Linked DNA regions of Stegostoma tigrinum. The protein of the gene in region 3 purifies or fractionates together with the protein of the main gene of each other region. This does not show direct contact. Links are inferred from orthologs where the notes say so. Each region holds a gene or a part of one and is shown on either strand. Other genes may lie near its edges.

Region 1 (7,930 bases), about 45 Mb from region 3:
TATAGGCCCAGCCTACCAACCTTTCCTTCATGCTGGAACCAATCTATTGACATTTTTTGGACTGCCTCCAATGCCAATACACCTTTCCTTAGATAAAGCAACCAGAACAGTGTTTTCTCATTACTCCAGGAGTGGTCCAACTTATTTCTTATAGAGTTTCAGCAGTAATTCCCTTTACTAGACACTATTTTCAAATAAAGACCAGCACTGCATTTGCCTTCCCAATCACGTTCTGAAACGTATACTAGCTTTTTGCAATACATGTATGAGGACTCCCAAATCCCTCTATGTTTTAGCTCTCTACAGTCATTTGCCATTTAAATAACTGTCAGCTTCTTTATTCTTCTTGCCAAAGTACATTAACTCACATTTCACACAAATTTTTGTCCATTCATTTAACGTATCTGTGTCCACCTGCAGGCTGTGTGTCATCCTCCCATCTATTTTTATGTAATCCACAAACTTGGTGATATATGTTAATGAATTGGATGAGGTAAATTAATGTGTGGAAATAATTGTGGCCCTAACACTGAACCCTGCAGCACACTGCTAATTACAGGTTGCTAGTCTGATAATGTCTTCCCTCTCTTATTCCGAACTCTGTCTTCTATTAGTTAGCTGTTCCTGTACCCATGATAATTTACTACCCACAGCAATATGCATTCTGGTGGAAGGTTAGAATGGTTCAATCCATCTCAGAGGTCAATATCAGAGATGGTAGCTGCTAGGGTTAGTGGCTGACCTGTGAGAAAAGAAATGAAGATTATGCACACTCCACTTATCTTATTAAGTTGAGTAAGAGATTGTTGCATTTTGGACACACATCTTTCTCATGTAAGCTATAACACAGGATAATATACATGATGCATACATTCCTCACTGTGCTAGTGCAAATCTTCTTGAATAAGTGCTCTGGTCACTGCCCAATCATTACACCATGCCCCACTACCTATGCATATCATCACACACCCTTCCATAGTTATGAACTCACATCAGGAACAAAACTTGCAGAACAGAGAAGGTTGTTCAGCTTCTCACAGAGTAGGAAAGTCCTCACATGGCTGCTGACCTCCTCTGCCACCTCCATCCAGACATTCTGGGTCGAGTGTGCAGGCCTCCTGTTCCTATTCTGCAGAATGTGGACATTCTGCCATTCACAGTCCAGAGGTGAACATCTAATGAGTCATCATTGAGCCAGAGGCCATCCAAACATTCACCACTTTCATTGCTTGTCGCTCTAGGTTTGTTTGATCTGATGTGGTGGGTGCCCTGGATGAGGAACTGGATACTTTCATCTTTGCTATTAGGAAGGCACAAGAATCATCAGGATGATAGCAAATGCTCTGCCTACATGTTCTCCTCTTAATTTTGTGCAATTAGTGCCTCAATGATGATAGTTTGCCAGTCAGTTTCTGGTTCTGAATATGCCTCCAACCAGGGTTGGCAGCCCTTTAAACCAAATGCTGGAACATACTTCTGGTTCACCACCGGGCCTCACTACTGCAGGATATCCTGCCTAAGGTCTGTGATTTATCACACGTCCTATGGGCCAGACACGGTTGACTGGCACTTCATTTGTTCTGGAAATAATGACATTGCTGGCACCAGTTATTTTACATTCTGTCTCTTCTACTCCACAAGGAACCATTCAATTAAGGCTTATACATTTTGACAGGCATTTTTTGACTTTTGGAGATTTTGATCCTCTCGTTGACTAATGTTTATCCACAAGCAAACTTAGAACATAGAACATAGAACAGTACAGCACAGAACAGGCCCTTCAGCCCACAATGTTGTGCCGACCATTGATCCTCATGTATGCATCCTCAAATTTCTGTGACCATATACATGTCCAGCAGTCTCTTAAATGACCCCAATGACCTTGCTTCCACAACTGCTGCTGGCAACGCATTCTATGCTCTCACAACTCTCTGCGTAAAGAACCTGCCTCTGACATCCCCTCTATACTTTCCACCAACCAGCTTAAAACTATGACCCCTCGTGCTAGCCATTTCTGCCCTGGGAAATAGTCTCTGGCTATCAACTCTATCTATGCCTCTCATTATCTTGTATACCTCAATTAGGTCCCCTCTCCTCCTCCTTTTCTCCAATGAAAAGAGACCGAGCTCAGTCAACCTCTCTTCATAAGATAAGCCCTCCAGTCCAGGCAGCATCCTGGTAAACCTCCTCTGAACCCTCTTCTTCAGAGTCTCTAGATGATATGTGTATATGAATATTAATTGAGTTATTTTCATTCCCAAATGAATCTATTGGTTTCGAACAAATAAATAAAGTTTAAATCTATTTGAACCCAATTCTTACATTGTCCAAATCATACATAAATGCTACTAGCCATTAATTAAATACTTATGATTTGATTCACTGGCCACAGTTACCAGTAGAGTCTAAATGAAATTCAAATTTAAAACAAATTGCAAAGGCAAGTTTGTGAAAAGGATTGTTAACATAATCGGTAATGAACAGGCATACACGCGCCAGCACTGTGTGGTTGACAGCCATACTAGAATCATAAATCAAATACGACATGGAACTCTGACAATGGCTGAGATAGAGTGGAGGTAGTCATTATTAAGCAGCAAAGCAGTAAGTATCAAAAATATTAAAACATCAAATTGCAGTAGAATGCTTTTGGAATGGTATATTTCACATAGTTAAATACACTGTCATAACTTGATAAACTTAAGAATGGAGACAATCAGAATTCAGGCTGCATAAAAGATGGTCTAAACATGTCCTGTTAAATTATTCCTGAAAAAAAGGATCAAAACATGCATACATAGCATTAAAGAAATTACAAATTAACATATTATATACTGTTATTTGGCCATCTCTGTAGGCAAGCAGGATCCAAAAATGAATACAGCTGACATTGTAATGTAGCAATTAAGCAGCAACAATTCCACTTAACAGCTGGTTCCAAGAATAGTTTCAGGTAAACCATATTCTGATCGAAATAATTTTAAAACTCTAACCTTTTTTAAATGTTGTGCTTATCACCTTGTACATCTGACCTGTGACTGATAAAACCCTCATAACACTCATAGGTAAAGACACGAGGAACATTATAGAATCAGAAGACACCATACACAAATTCATTTTCTTCAAATCATATAGAAACAAAAAAATTCAGCGATCATTGAATGAATTTTTATCTGTTGATTCGTCTAGGAACAAGCCCCATTTTAATGTTCTTACCTTGTGTAGCGCTTTTGATGATAAACATTAAGTAACACTTACTTTACTATCGTCAGCATTTGAAACAAGCAATGAACTCTGAGTTCGTGTAATCGATCATGAGTCAACTGAGGGTGGCTCTTTCAGGAGTATGTCTGGACTTGTGTCTGCCACTGATTGAACCTGCTGTCATCTGTTAGTATTACTGCATGTTTATACTGATCCAGTATAAACTAACTAGTGATTAGATTGCCAAATACATCCTCACATCTTTTAATGATTCATGGGTCTAATGCTGCACTAGGGTGGGGATGAAAACATATTCTGATAAAAATGTCTTCTAAAAAATATAATTCAAGCTTCTCCAAAACAATCAAGCTTCCTGTTCACGGATTTGATATAAGCTTGTTTCTTTCATGCATAGTAATTCTAACAAGCAATTTTTTTTCCCCAAAATCAGATAGCTGCCTTGTAATGATGTCAGAATACACATGAAATTACATATCCCTTCATCTGCTCTCCAAAGCTCTCTTCGTGAATATATGTCTGAACACGTTGGATGCTTTTGATAGTTGGGTGAGTGCACATTCTTTCACTTGTGTTCCCAGTGAAAGCATCATCGAACAATTTGTTGAAATTGGCTGCCACAACCTTACACTTACTAGCATTTACAAATAGATAATTATATATGTTCAGCTTTAAAATCAGTTCAAATGATTGTTGGAGATACAAACATAGATACTAGAAAGACAGTAAATGAGGAAATACCTCTAAGGCTTTCCTTTTGTGCAGATATAAAAGTCTTTTCTTCACGTAGCACAGATGTTTCACTGCCCTATTGGAAAGTTAATGTTTCAAGTCAGATATTGTCACGCAAAATTGGAATAACAGGGAATTCCAGTTTGTTTTAATGCTAACACAGAGGTGATTCAAACAATGATTGGTCTTTATATATTTGGAAGGAATGCCAATCCTATCATGAATTTAGATGTTAACCAAGGTGACCTGCAGTGGACAATATTTCAGGTTTTCCAGGCAATCTACTTAAAATAGGCAAACCTGACGAAAACAGGATTAGTAACATCTGCACCTCAGTATTAACAAACAGGTGGAATAAGAACCAGGTGGTGGGTGGGGTTGGAAAGATCAGCATCAAGAGAAGGTAAACAATGCATACACTTCAGCAACACATTTGTATATCCAATCTCAAGAAGAATGTCTCATCATCGCCATGTTAATTCCCTATTTTTCATGTGATTATCCTGATTTGGAGAAGCATCACCATCATGAACATATTTAACTGAGGCTCTATCATATGCCATTGCATCCAATCTGGAGTTGACAGCTGCTGCATGGCTATCCCAAGCTTCAGGAAAGTTGGCATTAAAGCAGCAATGAAATTGAAAGTCACTTTACTGGCATAGGTAATGTTTAGGAGGGCAGGATCTGAATAAATGCTCAATGCTCACATCTCAGCTGAGGTTTCCCAGCCCCATTGTGAATGGTCATGGGGGCAATGACAGGGGTCATACAGTCAAATGGGTGGTGTTGGCACAGATGACTGATGTCATCATACCTGGTCCATATTTTGGCAGAAATTGAATGGTGAGTGAAGTGCGAATCATGTGCATTTCTGGAAAACTGGCAAGTGAGTTACCCACGGTTGCTAAACAAAGCAAATGACCTATGCAAGCTTATTTGAGTTTTACAAAAGGGGAGTCTGAGCTCTGGTGGGTTTTACAGCAGAAATGGGATCCACTGCTGAGCTCAATGCTGTACTTGGCAATTATCAGGGCAGGTAGGGAAGCTGGGGCATCACAGCTATAGCATATTGCGTCAAGAAGGGTGTTTAGGAATCAGGATTTCAAATTGAGCCTCAATAATACCATATGGCAAGTGGCACATGCATCTATTGAGAGAATGTTGGGAGGTGCCAGGGTAGATTATGTTGAGAAAGCATGTGTTAGAGTAACAATTCATACTGAAGAGTCCCCCTGTTATGCGATGACACAGCAAACCTGGCAGAGAAATAGATTCAGCTGTGGGGATTTGGATAATGGCAACCTCTTGGCCACCTGCAGATGCAGCCTTGGGTTGAGAAACTGGAAAATGGCTGCCGGGCCCTGTCAGCAGTCACCAAAATGGAAAGAAAAGCAACCTATACCAAGGGTCCATAGACAGAGGATGCACCATCTCTAAATACAGTGAATTCTGCCACCTTCCTGACAGGCTGTCACAAGTCTTTGGACCATGATGATATTCAAGAAATGGCTTTAGTGATTACGTGATGCTGTAATGAGGACAGCCACTTTGGTCCTTTTTTTTTTTAAAAAGCACTTCTGCTTCATTCCAGGAACTCATTGGAGTTACAGAACTAAGAAAATTAAAGCATAGGAACAGGCCATTTGGCCCTCCAAGCCTGCACCAACATTCTGCCCATCACTACTAAAACTCCTTACCTTCCTTGGACCATATCCCTCAATTCCCATCCTATTCATGTTTTTGTAAAGACATCCTTTAAACGTCACTATAGTTTCTGCTTCCACTATCTCCCCTTCCAGAAGTGCACATGATTCACAGTTCACTCACCATTCAATTTCTGCCAAAATATGGACTAGACATGATGACATCAATCATCTGCAAGTACCAGGTGCCCACCACCCTGTGTGTAAAAAGCTTGCCTCACACATCACTTTTAAATCTTGCCCCTCGCACTTTAAACCTATAACTTCCTGGTAACTGACTCTTCCACCATGGGAAAAAGCTTCTGACTGTCCACTGTCCATGCCCTGCATAATCTTGTAGATTTCTATCAGGTCGCCCCTCAACCTCCGTCATTCCAGTGACAACAACCCAAGTTTCTCCAACCTCTCCTCATAGCTAATCCCCTCCATACTATGCAGCATCTTGGTAAATCTTTTGTCTACCATCTCCAAAGCCACCACATCCTTCTGGTAGTGTAGCAACCAGAATTAAACACAGTATTCCGAATACGTCCTAATGAAGGTTCTATAAAGCTGCAACATTACCTTCCAATTTTTAAACTCACTGCCCCAGCCAATGAAGGAAAGCATGCCATATGCCTTGTTGACGACCTTCTCCACTTGTGTTGCCACTTTCAATGACTTGTGTACCCATACATCCAGATCACCCTGCTTATTAGTACTCGAGGGTTCTACCATTTACTGTACATTTTCCATCTGGATTAGACCTTCCAAAATGCATTTTATATTTTTCCAGATTAAACTCCATCTACCATCTCTCTGTCCAAGTCATCAACTGATCTATATCCTGCTCTATCCTTTGACTCTCCACAATTCCATCAACCTTTGTCTCATCAGCAAAACTTACTAATCAGTCTAGTCACATTTACATCCAAATCACTTATATACAAATATCTGACAAATAGCAAGCATCCCAATACAGATCTCTGAGGAATGCCACAAGTCATAGCCCTCCATTCAGAAACATACTGCTACCCTCTCTGTTTTCTATAACTGAGTCAATTTTGTCCATCTTGCAAGCTCACCTCTCATACCATGCGACTTTACCTTCTGTAACAGCCTGCCAATGAGGGACCTTGTCAAAGGCCTTACTGAAGACCATTATAGACAACATCCACTGCCTAACTCTCAACCATTTTCATCACTTCCTCAAAAAAAAACTCAACCAAGTTAGTGGGACACACCCTTCCCTTCACAACATCATGTTGCCTCTCACTAATATGCCCACTTATTTCCAAGTGGGAGTAAATTCTGTCCTGAAGAATCCTCCCAAATTATTTCCCCACCATTGACATACCCATTGATGGCCTGTAGTTGGCTGGATGATCCTTGCCACCCTTGTAAAACAAAAAGGGGATTTGTTGATTTTGTAAATTATTTAGCAAAGTTCTTGCCTAATTTATGGTCAGTATAGGAACATCTACACAAGCTCACTGTTAAGGAAGTGTTGTGCTAATGGAACACAGAACAAGAAGTAGCTCTCAGAAGATTCAAAGCACGGTGGCTCAGTGGTTAGCACTGCTGCCTCACAGCGCCAGGAACCCAGGGTTGATTTCACCTTTGGGCGAGTGTCTGTGTGGAGTTTGCACATTCTCCCCATGTCTACATGGGTTTCCTCCCACAGCCCAAAGATGTGCAGGGCAGGTGGATTTGTCATGCTAAATTGCTCATAGTATTCAGGGATGCCTAGATTAGGAGGGGGGATGCTCTAAGGGTCAGTGTGGATTTGTTGGACTGAAGGGTCTGTTTCCACACTGAAGGGAATCTAAATAAACTGGTGATCCCCCCCATGCTTGGGGGGGGGGGGGGGAGAGAGAGAGAGAGAAGAGGGGGGGGGGGGAGAGAGAGAGAGAGAAGAGGGGGGGGGGAAGAGAGAGAGAGAGAGAGAGAGAGAGAGAGAGAGAGAGAGAGAGAGAGAGAGAGAGAGAGAGAGTGTGTATCATGTCAATAATTACGTCATCATAGGATTATCATGACTGCAAGACAGGACTTGAAACAACCCTAAACACAGCAAGAGCAGACAGCTGCATCTGAATTCTACATTTTAACTCAAACCCAATGTCATACGCTCAGGCAGTACAAATTACCAGGCTGTGGCCTTTAATTGTGGCTATTTTTAATCATGACATAAATGGGAGTGACAAATTGATGCGGAATCAAACTACAACCAGTTCAAAACATCTTCCGCAAACTGTTTCTATGTTACTTCATGTAACAGTGTTGCTTCATTG
Region 2 (8,529 bases), on a different chromosome or scaffold from region 3:
GCAAGTTTTAAATAAAGAAAACAATGGAATAAACATTACTTGGCAAAACAAATTCTACATTATTTCTTTATTATGCACAAATGCGATCAGGCATGAAAATGCCCACTCAGAAATATCAATATTTTCTAAATGCAATCATATTGTATTTTGTATTTATATTTCAGAAGGTTCTGATGACTTTAGATCACAAAATGAAATCTAAAACAAAATTAGACTTTATCAAAGCATATGAGTAAAAAGGTCAGATTATTAAAATATTCTATATCCTTGCCTATTAGTACATACAATCACGATTAAACTATTAGTAATCTCCTGTGACATTTTACTTAGTCAGCCAGGTAAACTTGAACAAAAGGATTGTAAGTCAGTTAAAACAGGGTGCACAGACATAATTCAGTGGCTGACATGAAACCATACATTCTGGCCTTACTTTTTACATAACACTTTGCTTTTATATGATATATAGTTGAAAAGAAAAAACATGCAACAAGAAATGATGTTCATTGGAACACTGAAGTTTCTTCTCAGTACAGGCTGAGGAACAAGGAAAAATAAATCTGAATCATTACCATTCATTGAAGGCAATTTGCTTTGTGTAATCTTCAAGTAAGTTTTTTGCAGAGCTGCACATCCAGAATAAAAACTTAAAAAAGACCAGGTTGTGAGCACACTGCACAGGAACATTCAGGTTATTGCACATAACACAGCTCAGAGGGAAGATTCAAAGGTGTAGGGGGAGGTGGGGTAGAATCTTATTGCAGTTCACATAGGCAGTTTGCACTATAAACATTGGAACTTATCACAAAAATTTGCAAAAAGTATGGACAGATACAAAGTTTTAAGAAATACACAAGTAGTTTAGATCCCCTCAATTTAAATAAAAATAATTTACAATGATACTGATACTGTAGAGAAAATTCAGATAATGTCTGCCAGAATACTATGTCATAAATTAATCCTGCATTGCAAGTCATAAGAATTTAACATTTTTTGTGAAGACAATGTTAAAAACTGAGGTTACTGTATTTATCCAACATGTCATGTAATAATAGATTTTCAGTGATTAACACTACATAGTCACCTTACTAAAATATTTTTGCATGTTGTTCCTCAGTAAACCTACAACCATTCAAAACTGGTTGCAAGTCACCTGTAGCCTGAGCACAACACTATGATAATGAAATGAAATTTCTTTGAATGAAATATTACTGTTATGTTGAATTAATAGTTCAGATGATGAGTGGTGCAAATATTCACTGACATTATTTTTTGAATAAATGATCTTTTGCAAAGCATTATTGATGAAAAAGGGATTTTAAGATATTCCCAGGAAGTGTACTTATAACAACTTCTGGACATGTGAATTTGTCTGACATCCCTTCACTAAGTGCAATTTTTAAACACATACATGTATACATACATATATAATTACCAAAACACTGCTAAATGGCCTACAAAGCGTGCACTCTAAGGACATTATAAAATTGGCTCCTAATCTTTTACAACGTCTCAAAGGTCACAAGCATTACACATTAAATATAACTCCGTGTAAAATTAAAAACTTCTCTACATAACATGTCTGACACTAGGTCAGTGAAATCTGAATTATAAATAAATATCGTTCCTGTCAAATGACTGCGCATGCCTAGATCTCAGACTACAAATGCCTACGTGAGTTTGATTCTTGTCAACCTCCCACAGTAAAAGCATCAAAAGGTAAAAATATAATTTATTCCATTAAGCTTCACTATTCTCATCCTGGATTGTATACAATTACGCTATCATAAGCGACTAGACATGCTTTAATTATTCTGTTTCCAAAGTCTCATTCATCATTTTAAAAACGTTTACAACTTATTCCCGTTGTCAATTGTGGATGCATAAAACCGTGACCATTTCTCTCACGACTAGAACATAGCAACAGTGAAAAAAACTTTCAAATCTTAATTATAGTTACAAGTAAAGAGAGGATAATTGGGCACAAGCTAAACCTACTGCTACCAAAATCAGAATTGATTGAAAAAAGAAAGAATATTCGTTATTAAACGCGATTATACATAAATAACGAATAAATGTGATTATGTTCTCCGATCACTGTCGCATTTAAAAAAAATAGTACGGACAAGAAGGGGTAAACTTAGGTCATCCAAAGTCGCCGATCAAAATAAATAAATCACACTAAATAAATTTGTTTATATTGCAGATAAGAAACAACATAGGTGCATATTTTTAAATGTGATGCTGGTGCTGACATCCAATCCCAAACTCCATCAATCCACCGTTAGAAATTTGGGAAATGATAAAAACTCAACGGTACAAATGGTAAATTAAGTCTGCGTTTCTCAGAAGTGGATGTTGGATCGATCAGGATAACAAAAAAAAAGTATGAAAAAAATAACATTTTTCGAGAAGCGGGGAAATGCTTCAGAAATTCCCTTAACGCCGTACAGAGACAGTGACAGGGGCAAAGAGAGCTTTGTTAGCGGAACAATCTTCCTTGACGTGAATCTCAAATCACAACGAGATGCGCAAGGAAAAAAAACCGGAAAACAATTAAAATAATCTACTATACTTCGGGGGGGGGGGGGGAGTCACATATCTTTCATCGTACACACAACCAAGAGGGGAAAGAAATCACCACAACCCAGCAAAGAGGTGGGCAAGATGGGCCGCTGGTGCCCATCAGATGCGAGCCGTACTCCCATTACCAAAGCATCGATACTTGCGATTATTTGCCCACTGTTCATACCTGTTGCGTCCTTTCTGCCGGGTTCTTCATGACCGCTTGTCTGAAGTTATTATCCACGTAAGACGCCATGGTTCCGACCTCGACCCGGTGCGGGCCTATAAAATAATAGGGCCTCGAGTCGACTCGAGCCTCCCTTTACGGCAGCGCTACTTTCCTAATTCTCGGAGGGGAGAGACGCCTGGGAATGTCTGCACTCAGAGCGCAGGCCCGAGATCGGCCTCAAGTAGCTGGAGCAACCCCAAAGACGTCACCGCGATCAGAAGCTTCTGTCGGCTTCTGGAATGTGAACGCCAACTCGGAGCTGCCCTGACAACCACAACCGTCCGCGCGGCACCCGCCGCTCCCACTCTGTACAAAGCAACGACTCTTCGCAGTAATACCCGATTCTATCCAGCTCCTTGGGATGCTTCATAATCCATCGGATTATTTTTATAATTAAACCACAAATAATTTCGCCTCGTTGTCTTGTCCTGGACAGCTTCGGGAATAATCCAGAAAATAACAAGTGCTTTCTAAATGCGTTGTCTAATCAAAGCGCTGTTTAAATGTCGATGTCAAATTATTTCGTTGTTGTTTAATTTCAATCAGATACGAACGACCTGCACTGGACCCTTTGTTTCATCACAAAGTGAAAATCTCCTGGAAACAGAAAGGAGATGGAGGAGGGACGAAAACTAATGACAACTAAACTCTCGCTAAAAGCTCGGCCAAAAACTCTCTACCGCCTCCTCACTCAGATCATCCAGAAAAAAATGGTGCCTTAATTTGTTGTCTCCTCCCAAAGCAGCCAAGGGGCAACGAGAAAGAACATACAGCACATGCCATAAAGATGACAGGATGTATCACGAGGTGCTGTGGTGTGACTATATCTAACCATGGAATCGTTAAAATTAAAAGTGCAAAAGTCGAACGAGAAGAGGGCAGACACGTTCATGCTTCTCGCCAAGGGTTAAACTCAGCGTTATCGTTATGAAAACAGCGGGTTTCAACATGTTCCATTTGTTTACGAAGTTTATATATATAAATGAAATTACAAAAAGCTTATTTTTAAAAATACAAATAGCCAAACTGTTAGTGAAATTCAGAAATAATGAATTAAGAGGAATGAGTGTGGCACTATCAACAATGATGTTACGGTTCTAAGGAAAATCCATGCTCCAGACCACAAGGGGGCACAGGTTCAAGGTGAGAGGGGCAAGTTTTTCACATAGATGGTGATGGGTGCCTTGAATGTACTGTCAGTGGCGGCGATGAGAGCAGGCACGTTAGTAACGTTTAAGGCGTATCTTGACAAGACACTTGAATGGAAAGTGAAAAGAGGGATAGAAAGCGTTAAGTAACGGGTCCAAATAAGGACTGGAATCGACGCAGGCTTGGTGGGCCAAACGGCCTGATTCTGCGCTGTATTCTATTGTGTAAATGGTTCCGTCACTGAATGTGTTTGTATTTAAATGAGGAACAGAGGCTGTTGCATTCTTGACTTTTTTTTAGAACTCCCAATAGTGAAAAAGAGATAGGTAAACAATTTAGTTGCCAAATTTCATTGAAAATGAAGAAAAAATTAAATAAAATATTTTACTTTAGTCCTTTTTTCTCAATCCAATTTTCATTAAGTTTGCTTTCTGAAACTGATTTAACATAAAGTACAATGTTGTAATGCCAGTTTCTGATTCAGAGCCTGCTTATTGCAGAGGTGTACAGTTGTCTACCTGTTTACAAAACTTCTGTAGTAAATGGGGAAATTTTTGGCTCTTTTCATCTATCATTTGCTATCTATCATAAGAAGTCTACCAGCAATGGTAAAGAATGGTCATTGCCAATCATTTGCTGCTGACTACAAAGTATAATCCTTTACCATACATCATTTCCTACTTTTAAGATAACAAAGTGTGGAGCTGGATGAACACAGCAGGCCAAGCAGCATCTTAGGAGCACAGCTCCACACTTTGTTGTCTTGGATTCTCCAGCATCTGCGGTTCCTACTTTAATTTGTTTTTTTGATGGAAACTCAAAACTGTGAAGCTCCTGTTCTCGATTAAAAACAAAAAGAACTACGGATGCTGTAAATCAGCAACATGAGACTGAAGAAAGGAAATAAAACTCTTGATAAAACTGTGCTTGCAAAGAACTAACCTAAAAACATGCAACTGTCTTTTCATTCAGATCCTCCTCTACTCCAAAAAATAGCTAAAAGGTAAAGAGGAAGAATTCCAACACATGCCGTAAAGATGAAAGAATACGTCACAGGATCCTATGGTGTGGCATATTGATCCATGGAAAAGTTAAAGGAAAAAACACAAAAGCTGTTAAGCATGGAAAGAGGAAAGTCTTGTTAATGTTCTGACCAAAGGTTACATCTGAAACTTAAAAAAAGTCTTCATTATAAGTTTATTTCTTTATTTCATTTTCAAAATTATTCATGAGATTTATATATTTTAACAAGATGTTAAAGATATCACTTTTTTCCTTAGTCATATTAAGTTACTTAAAGCTCTTAATATTGTTATTCCACTTTTGTTACTTAGAAAGCAATGGAAACTTTCAAAATAGGAGGCCATTCAAAATATTGTGTTCATATTTTCTCTTTAAAAGAGAAGTGATGCTTTGTCCCACTATACTTACTTTTTATCTATGTATGTGCAAATTCTTCATCTCTATGACTCAATAACTGCAGGTGCTGAAGATCTGAAACAAATAAAAACAGAAATTTCTACAAAAAGATGGCAGGTCTGGCAGCATTTGTGGATAGAAAAGAGAGTTAGCATCGAGGCTAGAGGCCCTTCTTCAGAAGATTAAACCAATACCTTTCCAAATTGAAGTCCATTTTGACCCTATAGATGCTTTTCAGTAACTTCCACCCAATGATACTCTGGTACTATTTCTATATTTAATGAGGATTAGATAAATTGATTTTTAAGAATGGAACTTGATGCACTTTTTAATGAGTGTTGTGTATGTTTAAGAGTACAAAATTAATTACTAATTTAGGACAGATAATTAATAGCTTTGTCTTTTCAGCATCATTATTACACAAATCTTACTGTTTCTATAGATTGTGCAAAGAAAGGACGATCAGGGGCTTAAACAGAAGTTGATGGAAAAGCTCAGCAGTTTTGGCAGCAGCTATGAATATAAAATCTGAGTTAACATTTTGGGTTCGGTGACCCTTCCCCATAACTGATGGTAGCTGGGAAAACATCAATTTATACGCAGAAAATAGGGAGGGGATGGGGTAGGGAGTAAATGGTAGGATAGAGCCTGAAGAGAGAGAACAGCAGTTGGATAGACAAAGGAGGTGATACCATGTGGCTGGAAGGGCGAATTGTTGTTAATAGAGACCGTTAGTGACTAACAGTAAATAGCATGTAATGGCAGGCCACGTGATAACAAGACCTGGTGTTTGGGGTAGGGGGCTAGGACATGGAAGAGTTTAGGCCATAAAATTATTGAACTCCATATTGAATCCGGAGGGCTACAGCGTCCCCAAGGGGTAAATAAGGTCTTGTTCTTCCAGCTTGCATTGAGCTTTGTTGGAACACTGCAACAAGCCAGAGTCAGAGATGTTGGCCAGGGAGCAGGGTGGTGTGTTAAAATGGCAGGCAACATGTAGCTCAGGCTCCTTTTTGCGAGCCAACTTTGCCATCTGGACACAGCATCCAGTTCATCAAAGTTGATTTTACAAGAGGTTTGCCTGACAATTTGAGTACACTGTAAGATCAACAGCGGCATTTGTTGCACAATAGTCCTATTGAATCCAAGGGAAGTAGTAGAGGCTTTGGTAATGGAATTTATTATGTGCTATTATGAGTTGTCGATACACATTCAAGGTCTCATTGCAGCAAAGGAGTGTGATGATAACAACTGCTCCATACATGAGAATGCAAGTTGACTTCCAGAGGTCATTCTTGGCAAACACTCATTACTGTAATTTGTGAAAAATCTGAACTGGCAAGCTGATCCTGCATTGGATCTGCTTATCAAAGGTTATTTTTTGAGAGAGATGGCTATTAGGATAGGGGAAGCACTCAACACAATTGGTAAGGCCAATTTTAGAATACTGTACAATTCTGGTTGCCCTTCAATAGGAAGGATGTTAAACTTGAAAGGGTACAGGAAAGATTTACAAGAAAGTTTGAGTTGTAGAAGGAGGCTAAATAGGCTGGGGTTTTCTTTTCCCTGGAGCATTGGAGGTAATCTTACACAGTTATATAAAATCATGAGGGGCATGGATAGGGTAGATAACCAAGGTCTTTTTCCTGGGCGGGGGAGTTCAAAACTAGAGGGCATACGTTTGAGGTGAGAAGGGCAAGATTTAAAAAGGGGTAATGTTTTCAATCAGATACTGGGGTATATGTGGAACGAACTGCCAGAAGGAGCAGTGGAGGCAGGTGTGATTACAACATTCAAGGGCACATGGATGGCTTGAATATAAAGTTTAGAGGGCTATGGGCCAAATGCTGGCAAATGGGACAAGGCCCGATTTGGATCTGTAGTTAGCATAGATGACTTGGACCGAAGGGTCTGTTTCCGTGCTGTGGGCTTTGACTATGACTATATAAATATTTATACATGGTTGACTAGATACGGTGAGTATTTTTATCCTTTTGTGGATCTGGGAGTGCTGGCAAGGCCAGCGTTTGTTGCTTATCCCTAATTACCCTTGAGAAGGTAGCAGTGAGCTGTGTACTTGAACTTCTGTAATTCATTGAAAATGAAAGGGAGTTCCAGAATGTTCATGCAACAACAGTGAAAGAGCAAATACAGTTTGCAGTCAACATCATATGTGGCTTGGAGGGGAGAGACTTGCAAGTTGGAGTGCTCACATGCATCTAACCTATTTGCTGCCCTTGTCCTTCTAGGTGATGTCATTAGCTTTGAGAGTGAGAAGAAGCCTTAGTAAGTTGTCACAATACATCTCTTATATTGTAACATTGTTGCGACAGTCCATTGTTGATGCCTAGAGTGAATGTTTAAGATAGGGTCTGATCAAATGACAATTTGTTGAGTTTCAAGTGTTGTTGGAGCTCCATTCATTCAGGCAAATAGAGAGAATTTCATCACACTCTTGTCTTATGCCTTGTAAATGGTGAATAGACACTGGGAGACAGGATTCCCAGCATTTGTTCTACTTTTGTAAATGCAATATTTATTTGGCTGGTTCAATTCAGTTTCTAGACACTAGTAATACTACGGACGTTGATCGTGGTGATTCAGTTATGGCAATGTCACTAAATGTCAAGGGAAAATGGTTAGATTCTTCCTTGTTTGAGATGTTCATTACCTTGCACTTGTTGGACTTGAATGCCACTTGCTACTTATCAGTCTGAGTCTGACTGTTGTAGTGCTTACTGCTTTAGTAACAGAAGTTTTGAATGGTGTCAAACATGTGCAATCATCAGTATACTTGCCCACTTCTGACCTTACAATGAAAGAAAGATCACTGATGAAACAGCTGAAGATACTGGGCCGAAGATACTATTACATGGAACTTCTGCAACAGCATCCTGTGACTGAGATTTTTAGTTTCTAATAACCAAAACTACCTTGCTTTGTGCTAGGCCTGACTCCAATCAATGAATACTTTTCCCCTGATTTCTATTTACTTCAATTTTGAAGGAGATTCTCAAGGCTACACATGGTCAAATGCTGCCTTACTGTAAAAGGCCGTCATCCTCACCCCACCTCTAGAATTAGATTCTCTTTTGGATTGAAGTTTTACTGAGGTCAGGAGTTAAGTAGCCCAAGCAGAACTCAAACTGAGCATCAGTGAGTAGGCTATT
Region 3 (8,033 bases):
ACCATGTTATCTCAGATTCTCCAGCATTGGCAGTTCTTACTATCTCTCTTGTGAAATGATGGACAGCTTAGTGTCAAGACAACAATCTCTCCCTCAAGGAGCTGGTGACTGATTTCAGGAAGTTGGAGTGTAGGACATGCTCCTGTCTGTACCAATGGTGCTGTGCTGGAGGTGGTCCCAGTGCTTCAAGTTCTGCATAGTAAGTATCACTAATCTATCCTGATCCATTTGTATCTACAGTCAAGAAAGCACAACACCACCTCTAGTTCCTCAGGCAGCTATGGAAATTCAGCATGTCCACAATGATACTTACCAATTTTTACAGATGCTCCATAGAAAAAGCATCCTATGCTGATGCATCACAACTTGTTACGGCAAATGACGACAAGAAATTAGAGTTGTGAACGCAGCCCAGTCCACCATGAAAACCAATCTTCCACCCATCGATTTCTGGAGGAGGGTCTAGGCCCAAAACATCAGCTTTCCTGCTCCTCTGATGCTGCTTGGCCTGCTTCATCCAGCTCTACACCTTGTTATCTCATCTTCCATCCATCAACTCAGTCTACACTTCCCACTGCCTTGGGAAAGCAGCCAAAGTAACCAAAGACTCCTCCCACCTGTTATACACTTCCATTGGGCAGGGCAGAAGGTCAAAGTTTGAAAACATGTACCAACAGATTCAAGCACAGCTTCAATACTTTTCACTGTATCTTGATACATGACAATAATAAGTCAAGTTAAATATTTAGACTTGGAGTGGTTGGTGCATCGAGATGCTGAGAAGATTTGTTTTAAGATGTATCTGAATTGATTAAAAGACATGACTGTAGAGAATTGTAAACAATGTGACGGCTAGCAAGAAGGGCAAAACCTAGTGCAACAGTTCGAAGTAAACCCGACTTGCAAAAACTCAATAATACATTGAGCTATGTATACCCGCAAACTTGCACACTTTACAACTCATTAACCTGTTGCAGTCAGGCCTGATTGGAATGGCAGATCAGCGGTAAATGTTACCGTAACAATTAAAAATTGCCATTTAGGGTAACCATTTGAGACCATTCAGTTGTAATTAAACACCAGCTACAAGGTTGTTTGTCTGTGATGAGGTACTTAATGTTATCGAAGACATGGTCACTCATTTTACATTACTAGCATCTGCAGTATTTGCTTCTGATTGCGTTGTAATTTAGTGGCCGTATATTATTTCAGGAACGTCACAGGTGCTACGTAAATGCAGAGTTATTAACTGATCTTTAAATAATGAGATTGAACTTTTAGTCTTTGATGTGATGGATTTTTAATTTTCCCACAATTCTATCCAGAAGTGAGATATCATGGCACAAGAAATATTACTGTTCATGATAATGGAATAGTGTAGGTTAGATGGGCTTCAGATTGGTTTCACAGATCGGCGCCACATCGACGGCCGAAGGGCCTGTACTTCACCGGGCTCCTCCGGGGACTATTAACCCCTCCCCCCGCGAGGCGGGAGAAGGGTTACAAAGTGCATAAACTTTACAAACAGGTTTTGTCCCGACTTCCCACGTTACTCTTTTGCTCAAAGAAACATCCCGGTCAACATGCCGTTGCTTCAATAACTGACTCTAGCCGTCTGCAAGGGAACAAACGTTGGACCCACTGCAGTGACTCTTGCCAGACATGTGGACTTTTGCACAGTCGGACCACGACAGAGTACTATTGTTCCCAAAGTAATAGGACACTCTGAAATGGATACTGCTCGCTGCCTAGCCTCGCCGCGGGGAGGCGGGGGGGGGGTGAAACTTTGTGCAAATTTCAGCTTCCCTCAAATCGGATCAAACGGAAAACTATTTCCACAAATGTGTGTTCGGATCGCACTGCTTTTATTTATTCTTTCAAAACCATAACATCACACGTCTTTCTCAAAAAAAATCAACTGTTAAACCATCTCTCTGCGTAAAGATGAATTTACTTTGTTTTTACAATACACAAACGAAACGAAACTTTAAAACATGAACGGTATTTTGTGGGATTGAAATCTTGGAATGAGCTAGTGGAATACGAAATCAACGAAACTCAAACATTGTAAAAGTTGAAAGTCCGGGTAAGTGCATGGAACGGGTGTCGCCAAATACAAAGCTGGTCAAATACAAAGTGCATCCAGTAACCCACTCATTCCAGCGATGGTGGCAACTAAATATTTAAATTTAACATCACCTCCACATTCAAATGAATTAACTGCTCAAGGACAACTGTCTCAGTGAATGGATTTTATTTTAAGTTTTAAGGACGGCCCCCGTTCACCATGAAACACTCGGGATTGCAGAAGGCGGGCGTGAACTTTGCCCACCGCATTGCAAGCAGGCTTCTGCACTCTCTCAGGTCTCCCTTCAAACTTTCAAAGTTCAGGCGCCTGTCACCACGGGAAATGAGCAGCTTTATAACCAAGCCACAACAAAACCAGCTCCTTTTCACCACATTCCGATACCAGGATCGACGATGCTGCAGTTCAAAGATTTCGGTTCCTGTCACATTCAGCAGTTCGGATTTGAATCAAATCCTGTCACTACTACACACATGCCTGGGCGAGAGTTACAACATAGTAATTTCTTTTAGGCATTTGGGACGTAAAGTTACACTGGAAATAGTTTCACCCAGCAACATGGCACTCAAAGTGAGAATGATGTTGGCTGAACTTACACTCCTAAACTTCAAACACAATCCTGAGGACCAAGGGCTGATTATCCCACCGTTGCAATTTGATCCGCTGGCCTTTTTCCCAAATTAAATTGGAAACAAACACATTGCACCCCCCCCCCCCCAATCCCTGGGACAGGGTTTGTTTTTTTAAAAAGGGGAGCGGGGGGAGGTGAGAACATAAACTGGGAATCACTTACTTTAAGTAGTATCGCTGGCCCGAGGGGGTTTTCGCCATTTCCCAGCCCGGAGGTAGAGGTACATCGTCGGGAATCTCATAGGAAGCCTGGCGGAGGTGAGCGGAGGCCGGGGAGGAGCCGCTTCCCTGGGACACTGCAGCAGCGGCGGGCGAGGCCGAGCCCGAAGAGCCGGAGGACCCCGAGGCGGGGGGAGCGGCGGCGGTAGCGGCGGCGCTGAGGAGGGAGGCCGGCGACGAGTGAGCCCTCACATGCTGGGGTTGCAGCGGCGGAGCATTCGGCCCGTCTGTGCTAGCCTGGCGGGAGTGGCTCTTGGGCTCGGGCTGTTTGAAGAACGAGTCGGGAAGTTTGCGGAGCCGCATCGGGACAGACTGCGGCACGTTCGAGTTCTTGGGGTTCATCACGGCGTTGAAGAGAGCCTCCAGGTCGGTCTCCGAGTCCCCCCGGACATGCACGATCTGGTGGCCGGCCCGAGGCACCGCCGCCCCCGGCCCCGTCCCGGTTCCCTGCTGCTGCTGCTGACTCGGATCCATGGGCCAAACCGGCCTGTCCCTGTACTGCCGCGTCCCGGTGCCACCCGCCTGGTGCCCTCCCTCAGTCAGCCAGCCAGCCCCCTCACTCCCTACCGGAGGTTTCTCTCAGGCCGGTGATAACGGCAGGTTTTTCCAGCCCCACATCGACGCGCTCCACGAGTGGAACCTTCTGGAACTCTCCGCCCGCCCGGTGAACCCGAGCCCGCTCGCGCTCTCTCCCTCAGAGCCGTGTGTGGCGCGCGCACTCCCTTTTTTTTACCTCCACCCCCCCCCCACCCGCGGGGAAAGTTTGCAGCGACTTTCACAACTTTTCCTGCTGCGCACGTGACCGCTCACGTCACGTGGGGCGGAGTCCATTCCCGGGCCCCTGGCGGGGGGTGGGGGAGAATTGTGAGTGTAATGTTTAACTTAGATTGGGTTTCACCTCAAACCCAGCCGCGGTGGTACAGTTTGTACGGTACCGACCTCAGTGATTTCACCTCTCCGCCCCCAATCCCTGCCTTCTTCTGTCTCTCCCTCTTCTCCCTCTCTCTTCCCTCCCCCCACTTTCCCCATCTCTCTCTCCCCAGCCTCCCTGTCTCCCTCCCCGCTGTCATCTGTGATCTTCACTGCTTCCAGCCGCCTCACAGGGCGATCCCATCACGTTTGCCACATGAAGGGGCGAACTTACACTCTACTCCATTTGGGAAGTTGCTGTCTGTACTGGCGGTTTCCGTGCTATCATAAGGGACGGTGTATTTAAAACGGGACTGAAAAGGCAGAGTGAAGACTGCACTGGGACGGCATTGTGGCTCAGTGGCTAGCACTGCTGTTTCACAGCGCCTGGGACCGGGATTTGATTCTGGACTTGTTGGGCCAAATGGCCTCTTTGCAATGTAGGGATTCTGATGATCCTGCTCTGTGCCTTGTTACCCATTACAAACCAGAAAGCACCTGAATTCCAGGCCCTCAATAGGAAAGGAACCCCGCAGCAATGAATTCAGGGTACAGTCAGTAAAAGATACATTGCAATATTTGAAATCAGGCTGCAAAAAGAAAAAAAACCTTATATTTTCTCCCTAAAATCTTCTCTCATTGCAATAAGAAAGGTAATTAAAACCGCTCAATGCCCAATCGCTGAGGAATAATTTAGAAATATTGATTAGAATAAGTGTGAAAATTGGTCCGAACAAAAGAACAGAAATGTATTATTTTTATAATAAACGAGTAAGTATTTGTTCTGGTCAAACATCATCGACTTGAAACATTAACTTTGGTTCTGTCCCTAGATACTGCCGGATTTGCTGAGTATTTCCTGTATTTTCTGTCCGTCTTTCAAATGTTTCAGATCTTGTGAAGAATTTGTGGTTCGTTGTTCATGATGCTTTGGTCAGGTCACGGTTTTACCTGTCTCCCTATCTTTTAACTCACCGGCTCGACACGAGGTAGTTAAATATCGTTGCACGAGTCAGGACAACAATTTCACAGAAAATGATAGAATCGCTCAGAAAAAACATGAGTTGCAGGTAACATGCGAGAAAGCGTCCCATGATGTAAGTGCATAAACTCATAAACGTACAGATTTTTCCAAAGTTTTAACAGTGTAAACGTAAACTGTGGTTTTGTTATTATTCTGAACACCGTACCGCACAATATTTGAGTTTGAGGAAGGGAAAGTTTTCATCACATTGTTTAACGGCTGAAGTTCTCCACCCTTTCCCTGAATTGTATCGCATCTCAAGCCATAAAACAAAGTAATTTTATTAAGGAAGAGTCTGCAAACGTACTCTTTCCGAGCTTTCTTAAATCCTTGTAGACAGTAATCATTTTGGTAGCTAATGGCGGTTCCCCTGAAGATATGTTTAACCGGCCCGACTTCCCAGACCACACACATGGCAGATGTGTTTTCTGTAATCTTTTAGTTGGAGCTGGTGAATACAAGGCAATATATCAGGGAAAATCTATCACCGTGGGGACTGCTCTCAATTGTTACCGTTTCATTTCACGTTTGTATATTACAGATATGACGAAGTGTTTCAAAAAGTGGATTTGATTTATTTTGGATGCGTGATGACAACATTTGGTACATTTTAAAGTTTTCGCTTGATGGGACAAGGCCATATTGGTAGTGGTGAGATCGACCAAAAGTGGGAAAAAAAATCACTCCCTGTACCCCTCCCCTCCAGACAACAACGGATACGGAATGTACCCATTTCTAAATGGAATTATTTACCACCTTTCTTTAAAATAGAGCAAAATTAGTATGTGTTATAGCCCCATAACTTATCCTGGTCAAAAATGGTATAACGGGAACACGGTTTCTGTCGGAAGAGGCAAGCATTAATATTGTTGCACCAGATCGTTGGATGTTGCCGAATCATGTTTTAAAAATATTTTAATAAATGCTTTCCACCAATATTATTTCATGAAGCTGTGTTTTCCAAAAGTCTCTTGTGATTTTATGATCATGTCCAAATAATAACCCCCTTAAATCATAGCCTGTTCCTTATGGTTACAATGAATCAGTTACTAAGGCAAAGTTATAACTCAAATTCAAAAGGATGCCGTTTTGGACCTGCAATTAAAGTGTAGGTCACATGATATCATGCATTACAGATGTGAAACAAATGATTATGGTAGAAAAACTCTCAAAAGGAACAACTACTCAAAGAAATCACAGCTATCAGGAAAAACTAAAGCAATGATTGGAATTATTCTCTACTCCCAACTTCAACTTCATAACAGATTTTTTTCACGTTTGTTTGTATTATTTATCCTTTCATGCTTTGACTGAGAAGACAAATTCCTTCAGCCAGAGAGTGGTGAGCCTATGGAATTCTCTGTCACAGCAAGTAACTGAGGTCAAAACATTGAATGTTTTCAAGAACGAATGAGATAAACTTCTTAGAGCTCAAGGGATCATGGGGTATGGAGAGAAAGTGGGAACATATACTGGGTTGGATTATCAGCCGAGACCATATTGAATGGCGAAGCAGATTCAAAGGCTGAATGGCCTACTCCTGCTCCTGTTTTCTATGGTACTATATTTAATCATCATGATCGTCCAGCATTGCTAAATTTTAACTCTCACAAATAAAGGAAAGCTTGTAAAATGATTGCAAATGCTGAATCTGCAATAAAGGACACAAAGGCTTGGAAATTTTAAGTTTCTGTATGTTACTGTTGTGTCGAATGGATGCTGAAGCCCCAAGTACATTAGGCAGGAAGCATGCTGCAGTATATTGGAGCCATGTCCTGCAGAACACATGCCTGAACTATTTAAATCATAGAATCAAAATACGGCAAAGACAATAAGGACAACCATTTGGCTCATTGATAGGAAATAGCAAGAACTGCAGCTGCTGGAGTCAGAGTTAATACAGTGTGGAGCTGGAGGAACACAGCAGGTCAGGCAGCATCAGAGGAGCAGGAAAGTTGACATTTTGGGTCGTGTCTCCATTTGACTCATTGCTCCTGGGCTGGTTCTTTTGAACAGCATGCCCTACTCATTACTGTTCACAATATTGTAAAGTTTTTTTTTCACAAGCCCCTGCACCTCTTGTCACAATCCCTAAATCTGTATCCTCCCTACAATATCAGGTAGAGCAGTTTTCCTTTGTCTATCTTTTCTAATCCTGTCATACACTTGTGTACCTCTTATCAAATTTCACCTCAATCCCTTTTGCACTGAGGGCCATAACCCCAGTTTCTCCACCTTAACTAATTCCTGGAACCATTCTGGTGATACTTCTATTTATGAAGTACAAGATTCTACATATTTTTCCAACTAATTTCCTCAAAATGCCTGCCTCCTTCAAACATTTATCTATATGAACCTTCATGCTTTTCACATTCTTATACAGTGTTTGGAATTGTAATGTTTATATTGCTTCTCTAAAAAGGCTTCTTCTCATTTCTCCCTATTAAATTCCATTTGCCAGCTGCCATGTATTTGTCTGTTCTCCTGACCTATCTGTGTCCTGTTGCAGTTTATTTGTATCTTCTTCATTGTCTTCCACATCTGCAAGTTTTGTATCATTGGCAAATATTGAAATTTTATCTTGTTACTGAGTCTTCTGCCACAGTTTTTGCTTATTTATTTTATTAAAGCATTAGTAATTTTGAACACATCAATGAAATCTCCACTTAACCTTCTTTGCTATAAAGAGAACGTCCCCAGGTTTTTCAGTCTTTCCATTTAACTTCAGGGGCGCATCCATAGAACTCAATTGAATCAGTTCTGAAGAGTCAAATTTGACTTGAATCATTAACTTTGTTTTTATCTCACCATGGATGATGCCAGATCTGCTGAGATTTTGCAGCACTTGTTGTTATTATAATAGGTCGCTTTTTTTCTATATTCTCTTGCAGGACATGGGCATCATTGGAAAGGCTGGCCTTCATCTACAATCTCTAACAATTGAATCGTTTGTTACACAATTTCAAAGAGCAGTTAAGAATTAACCATATCTCTATGTGCTTAGACCAAATCCAGAAAGGAAATTAGCTCTCCCCGGGAAGGAACTTATGACCAGAAGCCTTAAGGCTGAGGGATACAAAGGAGAGCTACAACCAAGAAATCTGGAGTGTGAAGGAAACTGCACAGATTCCAAAATAAAACAAAAGCTAGCCAAGCCCGAAAGAG
Region 4 (8,336 bases), on a different chromosome or scaffold from region 3:
TCCATTATGTTAAAAAAAAACTGCACTGTGTTTCAATCCCTCAACGGATTTTCTTCCTGTTTCCTACTGGCAATGTCCTTTAATTCTAGGAGGCTCCAGTACAACCCAGAGAGTTGGTCAACTCAGCCAATGGCTAAACCTAACAAAATATTCACTTGAACTTTTAGCCATTCCAAGGTATTCTGTATCAATGTACCTACCTTCCAAAAATTCCAGGCTATGAATCACTGAGTCAGGACTAAGAAAACTACTTCAAGATGAACTAAATTAAATGTTTCTCTTGACTACTAATAGCTGATTTCAAACTTGGACCCCATGTGGAAACAGTAATATTTGTAGCCCGGAGTGGTGTAGAGGTGGGTGAACACAGCAGGCCAAGCAGCATCAGAGGAGCGGGAAAGCTGACGTTTCAGGCCTCGACTCTTCTTCAGAAATCTTCTCAATATACTGTTGCAGCTTGACCTACCCCACATGCGAAACTGTCCAGGATAGAAATTTGACAGGGGTATTTAAGCATGTGACTTTAAGGAAAACCCAAATAGTGGTAATTACAGAGAAAGCTCACAGCTGGATTGGGCTGCCTGTCACCACAAACCATACGCTGTTCCTGGCTTTCCCTTACACCTACATCAAAAGCCAACGCTCTCCATTCCCAAAACATGTTTATTGAGCACTTTCAACCATCCCTCACTTGTTTAGGTTTTAACATCTGACTTGATGAGTGGGTGAGTGAATTTATACTGTGCTAATGTCTTACAAATCTCCAAAGCACAACACATCTTGAAGATACACATATCCCAAGTCTTTAGTCATCGATGGATTAGAATGGCAACCAGTATTGACATTAGACAAATATGACAAGTTTGTTTTGTAGACTTTTTATTCCCCTAAGCAGATTGGATTTACAAATGTAGACTCAAGCATATCTCAACAACAACTCAATGATGTTAAGAACATGTCTCAGTAGCAGCAAAGTTGAGTCAAAATCAAGTCCCAGAGCACACCATTGACTGGCATTCAAGGATACTGCTGAGTGGGTGCTGCTCTGTCACAGGCACTGGCTTGGCCTTGTAGTGTACATTGAATCCCTACAGCGTGGAAGCAGGCCATTCAGCCTGAATTTAGAATAAACCTTTGAAAAGCATCCCAACTAGACTCACCATGCTACCCTATAAACATGCATTTCCCATGGCCAATCCACCTAACCTACAAATCTTTGGACTGTGGTAGGAAACTGGAGCACCCATAGGAAAACCACACAGATTCGGGAAGAATGTGCAATCTCCACACAGGCAGTCACCCGAGGGTGGAATCGAGCCCAGGTCCATGGCATTGTGAGGCAGCAGTACTAACCATTGAACTACCGTGCTGTCCCAACTACAATTTTTAAGGGGATGTGAAAGAGCCTTTGCATTGATTTGAAGAAGGGCAGTGAGTTCTAACAACAACCAGACCAATTTTCAACCTTCCATCACTAAATAAACAGCTTATTAGGACATAGCTGTATATGCGGGCTTGCCATTTTGTCCTGCCATTTTTAAATGTGGTGTCACAGAGTCTTTCACATGTGCTCAAGAAAGAGACAGACCGGGCCTTGCCCCTACATCTCATCTGAGAAATAGCGTCTTCAACAGTTGAACTCTTGTTCATACTACATTGAAGCAGCTGCCTAAATTTTTGTGTTCAGACCCGCAGTCTTTGAAATGAGACAAGAGTGGTACCCCCAAGCTACAGCTGACATACAAGATATTACAGAGCATCTCTGATATTGGAAGAAAGGACATTGATAAATTCAGAAACTGCATTTCCTTGCTAGCCCAATTTATGGAATTATTGGAGGACAGGAGGCCATTCAGCCCAGACTTTGAGCTTTGACCCTTTCTTCCTGTTAGCAATATGAAATATTTCAATTCCATCCTCAACGAAAGGCGTTCTGTGCTTGTGCTGACTCTTTGAAGGAACTATTCAATTAGTCCATTGCCTTGCACCTTCCCCTCAGCTCTCAAAAACGTTCCCTCTTTTAATCTGAATCAATTTCATTTTGAATGGCCGCATCTGCTTTCACTGCCCTTTCGAAGCTGTACATTCCTTTCCACAACTATGTCCATGTACAAAAAAACTTTCAATTTCCCTCTGCTTCTTATGTCAATTTTATCTATTTATCCTAAGCCTGTGCCCTCTAGTTACCAACACTCTGGCCTATAGAGACAGTCACAGTTCTCAATCTCAACCATCTCACTCACAAAGCTGGGTGGGACAGGATGCAGACAAGTTTCAGTGTTATTTGGCTAAGGTTGGACGAGCAGGAAAATGCAAGGCAGGTGATGCATACTGTAGATAAACGTGAGGTTACTTTACTTTAGTAACAAAAATAGAAAGGTAGGTTATTATCTGAATGGTGATAAATTGGGAAAGAGAGTACACTTGTCACTGAAAATATGCATACAGGTGCAGCAGGCAGTGGGGAAGACAATGGAACGTTAGCCTTTGTAATGAGAGGATTCGAGCTCAGGAGCAGGGAAGTCTTGTTGCAACTGTACAGGTTCTTGGTGAGACCACAGCTGGAGTATTGTGTGTAGTTTTGGTCTCCTTAATCTGAGGAAGGATGTCCTGGCTATGGAAGGAGTGCAGCAAAGGTCTACCAGACTGATTCCTGGGTTGGCAGGACTGAAGTATAAAGAGAGACTGGATCAGTCAGGATTATATTCTAACAGGACTAGACAGTGTAAATTGGGAATGATGCTCCTAATGACTGGGCAGACCAGAACCAGGAGTCACAGTCTAAGAATACAGGGTAATCAGTTTAGGATTGAGATGAGGAGAAACTTCTTCACCCAGAGTCTTGTGGAATTCTCTTTCACAAAAGGTGACAGAGGCCAAAACATTGAATGTTTTCAAGAAGAGTTAGATATAGTTCTTAGGGCTAAAGAGATCAAAGCGTACAGGGAGAAAGTGGGAAGAGGGGGCTGACTGGGATGACCAGTTATGATCATATTGAATGACAGAGCAGGCTTGAAGGGCCAAATGGCCAGCTCCTGCTCCTATATTTCAAAGGAACTCGCTTGCCCTCAGTTCCCAAGGAAACATCTATTCAGCATGGCCATTCAAACGGCCTTCAGTGCTCTGGGTAATTCTGGTTGAGAAACCATTCCTGCCACAAAATAACTCTGTGCTGACTCAAAACGGTGGCAGGAAGTGTCTCATGGAGAAGGGAATGTTGCAGTCCACAAAACACTGACACAAACAGCATTGGCTCTCTAATGTCCCTCACCGGCTCCACAAGGAAATTTTCTCTAATTGGGAGTGAATGACACACACACACACACACACACACACACACACACACACACACATACACACACACACACACACACACACACACACACACACACACACACACACACACACACACACCATCTGTCCCACAGCACTAACCGGTGGATTCAGAGTGACTCCACTTCACTCAGCAGGCCATGAGTTAACATTCATCTTCAGCAGTCCTTCAGCAAATCCTGGAAACTGTTTTGAAATGAATTGCACTCTGAAGGTTAAAGTTTGTCTTTCTGTGTTTGTCTCCTCTCCAAATGTGTTCAACATGTCCTGTCCTGACACGATTCATTATACAATAAACTGACATGGCCCTTATATTGGCTCTCTCTGCTGCCTGGGTTGCTACGGTGGTATGTATTTTGGTGTCATGTTGCACTAACTTCCTCCCTGAAGTTTGTGCAGAATGCCAGAGTACTATTACAGCAGTAAAATGTCGACATAATGCATTGTTAACCCTCTTCGGTCATCATGGGTTTTGAATTACATCTCCCTTCTGCAGTCAAACACCGGTGAGAGGTCTACAGAGTCTAGTTGTAGTGGGAGCTGGGTCAGAGTTTGCTTCTTGAGCTTCAAATGCCTGGACTCTGCTGATTGACAGGAGTCTAAAGGAATGGCTTCAAAGTCACAACTGCACTCCCTCCCCCACCATCCCCACACCCCAGGGGGACAACTTGTTCAGCGATGTTCTTGGGAATCAAAGTCTGGCATGTGGATTTCTTAAATTGAGAAGTTTCTCTCCCTCTCACTCTCTGCTGAATTGTTAGCCATATCTGTTACTCTGAGTACAAATGGGGTAGTCAGTCAGGAATATAGGAGAACGCACACAAACAAACAAGCCACTGCAGGACGTAAGTGGTTGGGAGGGCGGCACGGGGGAGAGAGAGAAGGAAGGGAGGAAACACCATTCGAGTTAGCTTGGGATACAAAACAACATTTTTTTGCTCAAATTTCTGCCAAGCATCTTTGGACACAATTCCAACAAGTTTTTCCATTGACATGTTCATCAAACAGTAAATCACAAATTCTTCCCTCACATTGATTGCCTGGAAATAGCATTTGCAAACCAACAGCAGTGTAATGTATGGGAGAATAACAAAGGATTGCTGAATTGTCGTTCTGAGAAACAAAGCCGTTAGACAATGATCTATGATAATAAAATGTGAGGCTGGATGAACACAGCAGGCCAAGCAGCATCTCAGGAGCACAAAAGCTGACGTTTCGGGCCTAGACCCTTCATCAGAGAGGGGGATGGGGAGAGGGAACTGGAATAAATAGGGAGAGAGGGGGAGGCGGACCGAAGATGGAGAGTAAAGAAGATAGGTGGAGAGAGTATAGGTGGGGAGGTAGGGAGGGGATAGGTCAGTCCAGGGAAGACGGACAGGTCAAGGAGGTGGGATGAGGTTAGTAGGTAGCTGGGGGTGCGGCTTGGGGTGGGAGGAAGGGATGGGTGAGAGGAAGAGCCGGTTAGGGAGGCAGAGACAGGTTGGACTGATTTTGGGATGCAGTGGGTGGGGGGGAAGAGCTGGGCTGGTTGTGTGGTGCAGTGGGGGGAGGGGACGAACTGGGCTGGTTTAGGGATGCAGTAGGGGAAGGGGAGATTTTGAAACTGGTGAAGTCCACATTGATACCATATGGCTGCAGGGTTCCCAGGCGGAATATGAGTTGCTGTTCCTGCAACCTTCAGGTGGCATCTTTGTGGCAGTGCAGGAGGCCCATGATGGACATGTCATCTAGAGAATGGGAGGGGGAGTGGAAATGGTTTGCAACTGGGAGGTGCAGTTGTTTGTTGCGAACTGAGCGGAGGTGTTCTGCAAAGCGGTCCTACATTGGGGAAACCAAGCAGAGGCTTGGGGACCGCTTTGCAGAACACCTCCGCTCAGTTCGCAACAAACAACTGCACCTCCCAGTTGCAAACCATTTCCACTCCCCCTCCCATTCTCTAGATGACGTGTCCATCATGGGCCTCCTGCACTGCCACAAAGATGCCACCTGAAGGTTGCAGGAACAGCAACTCATATTCCGCCTGGGAACCCTGCAGCCATATGGTATCAATGTGGACTTCACCAGTTTCAAAATCTCCCCTTCCCCTACTGCATCCCTAAACCAGCCTAGTTCGTCCCCTCCCCCCACTGCACCACACAACCAGCCCAGCTCTTCCCCCCCACCCACTGCATCCCAAAATCAGTCCAACCTGTCTCTGCCTCCCTAACCGGCTCTTCCTCTCACCCATCCCTTCCTCCCACCCCAAGCCGCACCCCCAGCTACCTACTAACCTCATCCCACCTCCTTGACCTGTCCGTCTTCCCTGGACTGACCTATCCCCTCCCTACCTCCCCACCTACACTCTCTCCACCTATCTTCTTTACTCTCCATCTTCGGTCCGCCTCCCCCTCTCTCCCTATTTATTCCAGAACCCTCTCCCCATCCCCCTCTCTGATGAAGGGTCTAGGCCCGAAACGTCAGCTTTTGTGCTCCTGAGATGCTGCTTGGCCTGCTGTGTTCATCCAGCCTCACATTTTATTATCTTGGAATTCTCCAGCATCCGCAGTTCCCATTATCTCTGAGACAATGATCTATAATGATCAATTTGTACTTGGGCTTCCCCTGGCCATAAGCAGGCAAGGTGCAAATACACAACTAGCACATGACCAGGAGGTTGCCAGAGTCTTTACACAAGCAAGGTGATGCAGACAACAGAGTTTCAACGTTCACAAAGCAAGGCCAATGGAAAAGTACTAAAAGGCTTTTCCTAGAACGTTGTAACTGGATATAATTTAGATTATGAGGTACAGAAACCACGGAGCGGAGATCTGTACGATGGGAACCAGCTACAGGAAGGTCACATACAGATGTCAGCACAAAGCTGGAGATGAGCTGTTTTTTATACACTCTGGAATCTGGGATTCTGTCAAGCCGTGGTACAGTAATGTGTGAGTGGCAACCTTATGAAACAGCAAGAAAACCCCTGCAAGGTACAACTTTTCACTCACTCAACTCCCTCCATTGTGAAAGCGAACAGGAATCAGCTCACTACTTAATGAACTATCACTCCCATACTCCCACAGGAAGGAATGAAGCACAGAACATAAACGCCGTCCAAGCAACAACACAGCAACAATGGGACGGGTAATCAAAGCCACCAGTCTCTGTTTTTGCGCACCTATCACATGAAAGAAACCACGTGACCTTTAACCTTATTCCTTGTACCAGTCCCAAACATTTGCGACTCTTTGCATCCTTGGTTGGTGTTTATTCACTTCTCCGCACGCTTCCTCGGGAGACACACATGGAGCATTGGAAGGATTTGCAGATGATTCGCAGGACCAGTGTAATCCATCTTTCCAGGCCACGCCATCCTTATACCAGTCTTTAAACTTTTGTGAGCCCTCACAATGTTTACAATCAGAGAAGATGTCCTCATATCCAATGGATGTTAAAGGGTTATTTAGCTCAGTTGTCGGACAGCTGATTCGCAATGCAGAGTAACACCAATAACATGGGCCTAATTCCCGCTCAGGCTGAGGTTATCAAAAAGTTTGCAATGAGCATCCTATCTTGTTCACATCAGCTGAGCTTAAGGTTAACCTTAGCCTAAGGTGGCCTTTAGGTTAAACTTACTGCCAGTTGTCTCTCACTCCATGTCCAATGAGACAGCAGCCCTAACGCCCCCTGGGACTATAGCGACTTTACCTTTAACATGAAGGGCCTTCCTTCTCAACCTCACCCCTTTCCTGAGGAGTGGTGATTCTCAGGTTAAACCACCACAATCTCTTTCTAATGAAGCTGCAGCTCCAGGGCCCATTGGGAGCGCAGCAACTTTATTTTACTTTTTACTGTATGTTAATACAATTACGAATTGGGAGCTTTGGTCTTCACTGCACCCTCTGACTCTGGGGGGGCATGGTGTGTCCAAGCACACCATGCCCCCCCACCAACTCATTCACGGAAACAGATGTCACTGATGGGACCAGCATTCACCGCCTTATTGTCAGATGATGATGAATCTAACTTTGGCTTGCCAGGCTATTTTAAAGGGGAGGGCAGTTTAAAAGCCAACCACATTATTATGGGTCTGGAATTATGTACAGGCCAGACTGGGTAAGGGTCACTGAAAAGTGTTACAATGCAGACAGACACCATTTGGCCCATTCTGCTTGCATCAACTCTTCAAACCAGCTTCATTTCCTCATGCCAATCTCCTAATCTCCTGCTTTAAATCCACCCCCCCCCATACCCTTACATATTATTTTTGTCTGAATAATCATTCAATATGCTCTTGAATGCTTCTTGATATCACATTTCTATCCTACACTAAAGGAAATCTGTGAATGAGATGGATGCTGTACTATTGTTCTATAGTTTCTTGGTCACCATTATTGTGGCAAGATTTTTAATCCAGTCTGAAAAGATAACTCGATTGAAAATGCATTCCTCCAATACTGTGTTGAGATTTACTCAAAACTTCCGAGCCCAAAGCCCTGTGAATTACGGTCTGATAACATAACTGCTATATTTGCACTCTCTCATCCACTATCGCCAACCCCAAGGCTCCTTTGTCTCACAGTGCCAACAATGAAAGCTTATGGATTTATAGAAATCACTGAACCCAACATAATAACATAGCCATGGATATTTTCTGACAAGCAGTCAGCACATTCACAGAAGCAAGGTTTATTTCAGTATATATATGTAATTTCTTATATTAAACAGCATCACAGACATGAAACAAATGCAATGTAAGATTAAGAGGACGTTTTAGATATAATGAAAACTAAATATTTAACAGGCACTGCGCCCATTCCTACAAAATCACAAGCTGTCAGTAAATGTGCTGACTTCGATTTAACAATGCAACTCATTCTGGAGGACAGGGCTAATTCTAAGTGACACATACAGCTGCCGTGTACTGGTATTATTTTTAGACAAGGCTGTGTCTAACAAGCTCTCTGTGGTACACGGGTAGTCCATTTCACTGAATTTTAAAATGCCCCTACTCTGTCACGAGG

What was found.
Region 1: the proteins of yap1 (region 3) and amotl1 purify together in Homo sapiens (affinity purification with mass spectrometry; 8 studies listed by BioGRID and IntAct, with this or other methods). This does not show direct contact. The link is inferred for Stegostoma tigrinum from reciprocal best matches to the Homo sapiens genes YAP1 and AMOTL1.
Region 2: the proteins of yap1 (region 3) and rapgef2b purify together in Homo sapiens (affinity purification with mass spectrometry; 3 studies listed by BioGRID and IntAct, with this or other methods). This does not show direct contact. The link is inferred for Stegostoma tigrinum from reciprocal best matches to the Homo sapiens genes YAP1 and RAPGEF2.
Region 4: the proteins of yap1 (region 3) and rassf8b purify together in Homo sapiens (affinity purification with mass spectrometry, with the first as the bait; 3 studies listed by BioGRID). This does not show direct contact. The link is inferred for Stegostoma tigrinum from reciprocal best matches to the Homo sapiens genes YAP1 and RASSF8.

The regions. Positions count from the first base shown.
Region 1 is NC_081359.1:47,170,506-47,178,435, forward strand, and holds the start of amotl1 (angiomotin-like protein 1), read right to left. Parts: upstream 3,298-7,930; 5' UTR 3,217-3,297; intron 1-3,216. UniProt on the Homo sapiens protein: Inhibits the Wnt/beta-catenin signaling pathway, probably by recruiting CTNNB1 to recycling endosomes and hence preventing its translocation to the nucleus.
Region 2 is NC_081354.1:38,387,377-38,395,905, forward strand, and holds the start of rapgef2b (rap guanine nucleotide exchange factor 2), read right to left. Parts: upstream 3,476-8,529; 5' UTR 2,819-3,475; coding exon 2,750-2,818; intron 1-2,749. UniProt on the Homo sapiens protein: Functions as a guanine nucleotide exchange factor (GEF), which activates Rap and Ras family of small GTPases by exchanging bound GDP for free GTP in a cAMP-dependent manner.
Region 3 is NC_081359.1:1,795,378-1,803,410, reverse strand, and holds the start of yap1 (transcriptional coactivator YAP1), read right to left. Parts: upstream 3,675-8,033; 5' UTR 3,410-3,674; coding exon 2,880-3,409; intron 1-2,879. UniProt on the Homo sapiens protein: Transcriptional regulator with dual roles as a coactivator and corepressor. Critical downstream regulatory target in the Hippo signaling pathway, crucial for organ size control and tumor suppression by restricting proliferation and promoting apoptosis.
Region 4 is NC_081378.1:48,632,211-48,640,546, reverse strand, and holds the start of rassf8b (ras association domain-containing protein 8b), read right to left. Parts: upstream 3,629-8,336; 5' UTR 3,436-3,628; intron 1-3,435.